2 linked regions of the Callithrix jacchus genome follow. The protein of the gene in region 1 interacts with the protein of each later gene in a pairwise test. Links are inferred from orthologs where the notes say so. Each region holds a gene or a part of one and is shown on either strand. Other genes may lie near its edges.

Region 1 (4,360 bases):
TAATCTTTAATGCCCAGCACCTATTGTTACTATTTTTGCCCCTCACATCTGTACAGAGCATTTATGGCTCAAGAAACATTGATTGTTTTAATTGTATGGGAGCCTCATAGGGAGACATTTCCGATCATTATTCCCATTAGGAGGGTGGAGAAACAGGCTTTAGGAGGTGGTCCTGACCTAGGGAATTACTTTGCTGACTCACTAACCCATGGAGCTCTACAGTTAAAGAAGACTAGATTAAAAAATAAGAACTCAATAAAGGGGCTGAAGCAGGAAGATCACCTGAGGTTAGGAATTTGAGACCAGCCTGGGCAATATAGTGAGATCCCATCTCTAGAAGTATTATTATTATTATTTTTTTAATTAGGCTGTTCGAGAACTGGTGCAGTGGCTTACACCTATAATCCCAGCACTTCGGGAGGCTGAGGAGGGTGGATCACCTGAGGTTAGGAGTTCCAGACCAGCCTGGCTAACATAATGAAGACTCGTCTGTAGTAAAAATACAGTTAGCCAGTGTGGTGGCACACACCTGTAGTCCCAGCCACTTGAGAGACTGAGACAGGAGAATCGCTTGAACCTGGCAGGTGGAGGTTGCAGTGAGCCGAGATCGTGCCATTGTACCCCAGCCTGGGCAAGATGGAACCAGACTCCTTCTCAAAAAAAAAAAAAAAAAAAAAAAAAAAAAGCTGCTCGCTCAGTGGCTCATGGCTCACACCTGTAATCCCAGCACTTTGTCAGGCCAAGGCAGGAGGATCGCTTCAGTCCAGAAGTTCAAGATCAGGCTAGGCAATACAGGGAGATACAGCGCCCCTACTTCCCCTATCTGCCCAGATTCATCTCCCTACAAAAAGACAAAAAAAAAAAGTAGTCTGGCATGGTGGTGTGCACCTGCAGTCCCAGCCACTAGTGAGTCTGAGGCAAGAGGATTGGTTGAGCCCAGGAGTTCGAGGCTGCAGAGAGCTGTGATCGCCCCATTGTACTCCAGCCTGGGTGAAAAAGCGAGACCCCATTTCCAAAACAAACAAAAAGAATTCAGTCAAGTGTAGAAGACCTTTCTGATCCCATGTCTTAGTGAGCACCGGCGGGGCTGGGATTCGAACCCAGTGGATCGATCCCATAACCCATCTAGACCCTAGCAACTCCAGACTGGTGGGTCACCGGTCTGCCGGAGGCCGAGGGGCGGGACCGCGGGCGGGCCGTCATTCCCGCGGCGGAGGGTTCCGTGCTGCTGATTGGCCGCGGCCGGCAGGTGCACCCTCAGCCAATCAGCGGAGCCGGAGGCGGTGCCTCCGAGGCTCACCTGGCGGCCGCCGCGCCGCCCCTCTCAGTGTCGTCGGAGCCTCAAAGCACCTGTGAGCTCGCGAAAGTCCGTTCAGACTCCAGCCCGGCCCAGACCGGCCCGACCCGACCGCACCCGGCCCCCGCCCTTGCTCGGCGTCCCCGGCCGACCATGGGCCCTTTGAGCCGCAGCCACTCCGCGCTGCTTCTGCTGCTGCTGCTGCAGGTACCTCAAGCCCCCGGCCTTGCGAGGGACGCGTTCTGGCTGCACGCTCTGCGCCCCAGCCCCGCGCCCCTTCTTCTCCCGTCGTCGCTGCTTCCCTTCTTCCAAGAAAGTTCGGGTCCCGAGGAGCTTAGCGGCCTGAAGCCTCGCGTGCTCCGGACCCCGCAGTGATGGGAGTGGGGAGGTGGTGAGGGGCGAGCGCTGCTTTGACGCCTGGCCGCGGGCTCCGCGGGGTGGGCTCGGGCGGGCGGTGGGGGCGTGGAGCGGGGTGGAAGGCGGAGTGTGGAGAAGGGGAGCCCCGGTGCAAGTCGAGGGGGAGGCAGGAGAGGTAGGGACGATCCCCGAGGGAGGGAGAGGGGCATCCGTAGAAAAAAAGGCACCTGCCATGCGAAGAAAGGTTGTAAATAGGAGTGGGGGTCCAAGGGGTAAGAAAGTGGAGTCGGAGGAGGTGGGAGCGCCTCTTGCTCTGAGGACTAGCGCGTTCGCGGTCTAAGGAAAGTGGGGTTGAGAAGAATGAAGACATCTCCAGTAAAATGAGAAAAGAGACCGGAAGGAAAGGTGGGCTAGGTCTAGCGGGAGTGACCCGGCGCCCCCCACTTCGAGAGTTCCTGGGGGCTTGGCCGCCGCGGGTTTCGGGGTAGGGGAGGGTGACGTCGCTGCCCGCCGGGGGCTGGAGGCGGGGGTCCTCCCCAAATCCCGGCGCCAGAAGCGAGGGAGGGGCGCGGCGCTGTTGGTTTCGGTGTGAGCCGGAGGGGACCCTCCGAGTCACCCAGTTCCATCTACCTTTCCCCCCACCCCAGGTCTCGTATAGGGTCTGCCAAGAGCCGGAGTCCTGCCACCCCGGCTTTGATTCCGAGAGCTACACATTCACGGTGCCTCGGCGGCACCTGGAGAGAGGCCGCGTCCTGGGCAGAGGTGAGGGCGCGCCGCCGGTGTCCATGGGCGGAGTGGGGTGGGGTTGGAAAGGGGCCGAGAAACTGCACTCCCACGCCCCTGGGTTGGAATGGGCAAGCTCCCTTCTTGGCTCAACCGACACCCCTTTGGAATTTACACAGATTTGGGGATCCAAATGTTTATGACTGAGCACTGTGGTGGAGAGGGTAGCCCTGCCTGGTTGTTAACTATGTAATAAAGAAGCAGAGGTTGAGGGCATTTACTAGAAGCCTTCGTGTTTCTCTTATTGCCCTGAGGCACTGTAGAGATAGTGTCTCATTTCAGACTGCAAAAACCTGCTGGGTGTGAAGGCCCGGCGGGAATATTCCCATTTTACAGATGAGCAAACCGAGGCTCAGAGGGTGACAAAGCAGGTATCTGAACTGGGATCTGACTACCACGCTCCATTAAGCACCATCTCTGGAATGACTGAATAGCAACCCTCTCCTGGTTACTGGGCTGGAGCTTTTGTTTATACAGATTAAAGCTTTCTTTTTTAAAGACAGGGTCTTGCTCTGTTGCCCAGGCTGGAGTGCAGTGGTGCAATCATATAGCTTACTGCAGCCTCCATCCTCTGGGCTCAAGTGATCTTTCCCACCTCAGCCTCCCTAGTAGCTGGTATTACAGGCATGTGCCACCATGCCTGGCTAATTTATTATTATTATTATTATTATTTTTAAGATGGAGTTTCACCATGACAGCCAGGCTGGTCTTGAACTCCTGACCTCAGGTGATCCACCCACCTCAGCCTCCCAAAGTGCTAGGATTACAGGTGTAAGCCACAGCGCCCAGCCAATTTAAAACATTTTTTTAGGGTTGGCATGGTGGCTCACGCTTGTAATCCCAGCACTTTGGGGGGCCAAGGCAGGCAGAGTCAGGAGTCAAGTGGGCAGAGTCAATGAGGTTAGGAGTTCCAGACTAGCCTGGCCAACATGGTGAACCCTGTCTCTACTAAAAAAATACAAAAATTAGCTGGACACGGTGGCATGTACCTGTAATCCCAGCTATTCGGGAGGCTGAGGCAGGAGAATTGCTTGAACCCAGGAGGCGGAGGTTGCAGTGAGCTGAGATGGGACCACTGCACTCCAGCCTGGGTGACAGAGCAAGACTCCATCTCATAAAATAAAATTTCTTTTAGAGACAGGAATCTCCTCATGTTGCCCAGGCTGGTGTGGAACTCTTAGGCTCAAGAGATCCTTCTGTCTCAGCTTTCCAGAGTGCTGGGATTGCAGACCTGAGACACTGTGCCTGGACTGAAACTTCTTGATACAGATCCTATTTCTCCCAAGGAAGAATGTTTTTTTGTCATATATGTATGTATGTATATATATATATATATATATATATATATATATATATATTTTTTTTTTTTTTTTTTTTAAGACGAAGTTTCACTGTTGTTGCCCAGCCTGGAGTACAGTGGCATGATGTCTGCTCACTGCAACCTCTGCCTCCTGGGTTCAAGCGATTCTCCTGCCTCAGCCTCCTGAACAGCTGGGATTACAGGCACCTGCCACTGCACCCAGCTAATTTTTGTATTTTTAGTACAGACGGGGTTTCATCATGTTGGCCAGACTGGTCTCGAACTCCTGACCTCAGGTAATCCACCTGCCTCTACCTCCCAAAGTGCTGGGATTATAGGCACGAGCCACCGTGGCCAGCCAGGAATAATGATATTTTTTAAAAGGCATGGAAGTTCTGACTCAGGATAAAAATGCATACAAACATCCAATGTACTTCTAGGCCTTATCGTTGTGATAATCTAGAGTTTGCTTTGTTCCGCTTGACTGTTGTCCAGGGAACAAGGAAAGGGGCTAGTTTCTCTTCTGGTTTCACTGAATCCCAGGTGCTTACTTTTATATCAAACTACTTTCTCCTCTCTCATGATTTTAGTTGACTGAGCGAGTATCACAATAAAATACATTT
Region 2 (3,815 bases), on another chromosome or scaffold:
CAACGATTTCCTTTTATGGTATAGAAAAATGGACATCACCAGGAGAGAGAGGGGTGATTTAGACAGCTCAATAACAACTAATTGTCTTGGTGTGTTTCTAGCTTTTTACAGTAATAGATTATAAAATTTGTACAATGAGTTTTTTAAAATTTTGTTTATAGGATTATAATTCAGAAGAGTTAAGACATTAGAAGTATATATCACTTGTTTTTTGGGTGTTTTCTCTAATGCCTAGTTTTCAACACGGTATACATTCATTTTAAGTTACATAGTAAATTTGATTGCTTCATTGGAATAAAGGATTTCAGATGTGGTATAAAACATTACATAGAAGACTTTTTTTTTTTTTTTTTTTTGAGACGGAGTTTCACTCTTGTTACCCAGGCTGGAGTGCAATGGCATGATCTTGGCTCACCGCAACCTCTGCCTCCTGGGTTCAGGCAATTCTCCTGCCTCAGCCTCCTGAATAGCTGGGATTACAGGCACACGCCACCATGCCCAGCTAATTTTTTGTATTTTTAGTAGAGACGAGGTTTCACCATGTTGACCAGGATGGTCTCGATCTCTTGACCTTGTGATCCACCCGCGTCGGCCTCCCAAAGTGCTGGGATTACAGGCGTGAGCCACCGCGCCCAGCTCTAGAAGACTTTTAAAGGTTTCCTCTTTTGTATAAGTATTGAAAGAAAATTAAAAGGTACCTATTGTTTAAAAGGAAATTAGTTCTCAAGGTACTAAATGTAACTAATGTACTGAATATACTAATATACTAACCTTACTAATGGACTAAATGTAACAAGCTACTAAATGCCACACCTCACTTATGTGGTCCTTATTAGGACAGAAGGTCCTTAGTAGAAGATCCTTAGGACAGAAGCCTATCTGGATTAACAGACCCAGATCAGGAAGTGAAGAAATGGCAATCAGAGTTAAACAGTATATATTATTGTTTTTAAACACCACCCAAGAGAAAGTGCCTCACCTCTTGTTAAGGTGGAGATAGTTCTGAGTTTACACTGAACTAAAAGCACAAAACAAGTGTGCCAGGTGGCCACTAAAGAGAAGCATAATAACATTAGTAAGGAGTGCCAGCCTTGTAGTAAGGATGGAAAAATAGACACAACTCAAAATCAAGAGTGTAGAGCCATTTAGTATAGTGTCAAATGACCTGACAGACATATTCAATGATAGTTGCTTATAGTGCTTAACTGGGGATTAAATACTGTCAATTTAATTTGATATTAGAATATTTTAAGTAATATGAAATAGATATAAAAACATTGTGGAGTAGATATTTTAACCTCATTGTACATATGAAACAAACTCAGAAATGGTTCAGTAACCTCAAATTACTGAGCGAGATCTTCAGATTCCTATTTCAGTTGTCTTTCCCCACTGTGTCAAGAAAGCTGTAACAGCAAGTATGGATTAAATATGATAAATGAAAAATAGTTATAATTTTGACCTTGAGTTATTAAGAAAACGTTAAGTTAAATTTAGTGCTCACGAATCAGAAAGGTAGGAAAGTGTAAATTTGTCTGACAATTCAGAAAAACCCTTTCTTTAAGGGACTTAATAGTCAAGGCTTGGATTGGAATTGTTCATGTTTAATGTTAAGAACCCCTAATGATGAGGCTGAAGTTATTTGTAGTCCTTTGCAGTATCTTCTACTTATTGTTTTCCACTTAGTGTTATTTGCTCAACAAACACCACACTCAATAATACTATACAAGTTTGAATTTCACGATTGTTGTAAGTAATCAATACTTTGGTTTTTTTTTTCTTCCTGGGTTTTTTGCAAATAGATGCAAAACATAAAATTGTTTGAGAAAATTGGATAAATTCTAGGCCTTGGGAAGAGTGAGGTCTCTTCTTTGTTTTTTTTTGTTTTTTGTTTTGAGACAGAGTTTCACTCTTGTTACCCAGGCTGGAGTGCAATGGCACGATCTTGGCTCACTGCAATCTCTGCCTCCTGGGTTCAAGCAACTCTGCTGCCTCAGCCTCCCGAGCAGCTGGGACTACAGGCATGCACCACCATGCCCAGCTAATTTTTGTATTTTTAGTAGAGACGGGGTTTCACCATGTTGACCAGGATGGTCTTGATCTCTTGACCTCGTGATCCACCCGCCTCGGCCTCCCAAAGTGCTGGGATTATAGGCATGAGCCACTGTGCCCAGCCAAGTGAGGTCTCTTCTTCAAATATACTGTTTAAAATTAGGAGTTCTGAAGTTGACAGTAATGCCTATGCTTAATGGCTAATAGACAATAAAGTAGGGAAGATTAAATGTTCATGTAGAATAACTATAACTTCTAATTGTGGACTTTTGCTATGTTTTGTGTAACAGTCAAATTTTGAAAACAGGCGTACTTTTGAAAATTACATAATTTTTATATTCTCTTTTAGTAAATCACATTTTTTTCCTTCTAATTTAGCTGTAGTGATCCTGTGCAGCGAATTGAGCAGTGTACACGAGGTTCTCTCTTCATGTGTAGCATTGTTCAAGGGTGCAAGAGAACATATTTGTCTCAGAGAGACTTACAGGCTCATATCAACCATCGCCATATGAGAGCTGGAAAACCTGTTACCCGTGCTTCACTTGAAAATGTTCATCCTCCTATTGCCCCACCACCAACCGAAATCCCTGATCGTTTTATAATGCCACCAGACAAGCACCATATGAGCCATATTCCGCCAAAGCAGCACATCATGATGCCACCACCTCCTTTGCAACATGTGCCACATGAGCACTATAATCAGCCACATGAGGATATTCGTGCTCCTCCAGCAGAATTGTCCATGGCTCCACCTCCACCTCGATCGGTCAGTCAGGAAACCTTTCGTATTTCAACAAGAAAACACAGCAATTTAATAACTGTCCCTATTCAGGATGACTCAAATTCAGGTGCTAGAGAACCACCACCTCCTGCCCCAGCACCTGCTCACCATCATCCTGAATATCAGGGTCAACCAGTGGTATCTCACCCTCATCATATTATGCCTCCACAGCAACATTATGCACCACCCCCACCTCCTCCACCACCAATAAGCCATCCAATGCCACATCCTCCCCAGGCTGCAGGTACTCCTCACTTGGTATATAGCCAAGCTCCACCTCCACCAATGACCTCTGCTCCACCACCAATAACCCCTCCCCCTGGACATATTATTGCCCAGATGCCACCTTATATGAATCATCCTCCTCCAGGACCTCCCCCACCTCAACATGGTGGTCCACCTGTAACTGCACCCCCTCCTCACCATTATAATCCTAACTCATTACCCCAGTTCACTGAAGATCAAGGAACTCTGAGCCCTCCATTTACACAACCAGGGGGAATGAGTCCTGGTATATGGCCTGCACCAAGAGGGCCACCTCCTCCTCCACGATTGCAGGGCCCGCCTTCTCAAACCCCACTTCCTGGACCACATCATCCAGATCAGACGAGATATAGACCGTATTACCAATGATGATAGTATTTTGAACTGAAGATATGAGGAGGAAAAACAACTTATGTATAGTCAATCTTTTAATTAAGCTTTGACTGTTTGGGGAAGGAAAAGTACCTCTTACGGAGGTAGTATAAAACACATAGGGTCTTGTTTCTTAAAATGATTTTGAATCTTGACCTTAGGATTGATTTCAAGTACCATACTGTAGTACAGATAAGTGGCTCAGTTGAGCACAGCTATATTTTAACATCTTTGTTCCCCTAGTTTAGTAAATTGACCTAGAGGTGACCATTTGTAAAAAAAATTGAAAAAATTTTTTGTTTTACTTCAAAAGTATTGTCTTGTTAAACCCATTGTTTAATTTTTC

What was found.
Region 2: the proteins of CDH1 (region 1) and CBLL1 interact in a two-hybrid assay, tested with the Homo sapiens proteins (2 studies listed by BioGRID, with this or other methods). The link is inferred for Callithrix jacchus from reciprocal best matches to the Homo sapiens genes CDH1 and CBLL1.

What each region holds. Positions count from the first base shown.
Region 1 is NC_133521.1:26,279,423-26,283,782, forward strand, and holds the start of CDH1 (cadherin-1), read left to right. Parts: upstream 1-1,326; 5' UTR 1,327-1,450; coding exon 1,451-1,504; intron 1,505-2,301; coding exon 2,302-2,416; intron 2,417-4,360.
Region 2 is NC_133512.1:78,216,288-78,220,102, forward strand, and holds part of CBLL1 (E3 ubiquitin-protein ligase Hakai), read left to right. Parts: intron 1-2,430; coding exon 2,431-3,466; 3' UTR 3,467-3,815. UniProt on the Homo sapiens protein: E3 ubiquitin-protein ligase that mediates ubiquitination of several tyrosine-phosphorylated Src substrates, including CDH1, CTTN and DOK1. Targets CDH1 for endocytosis and degradation.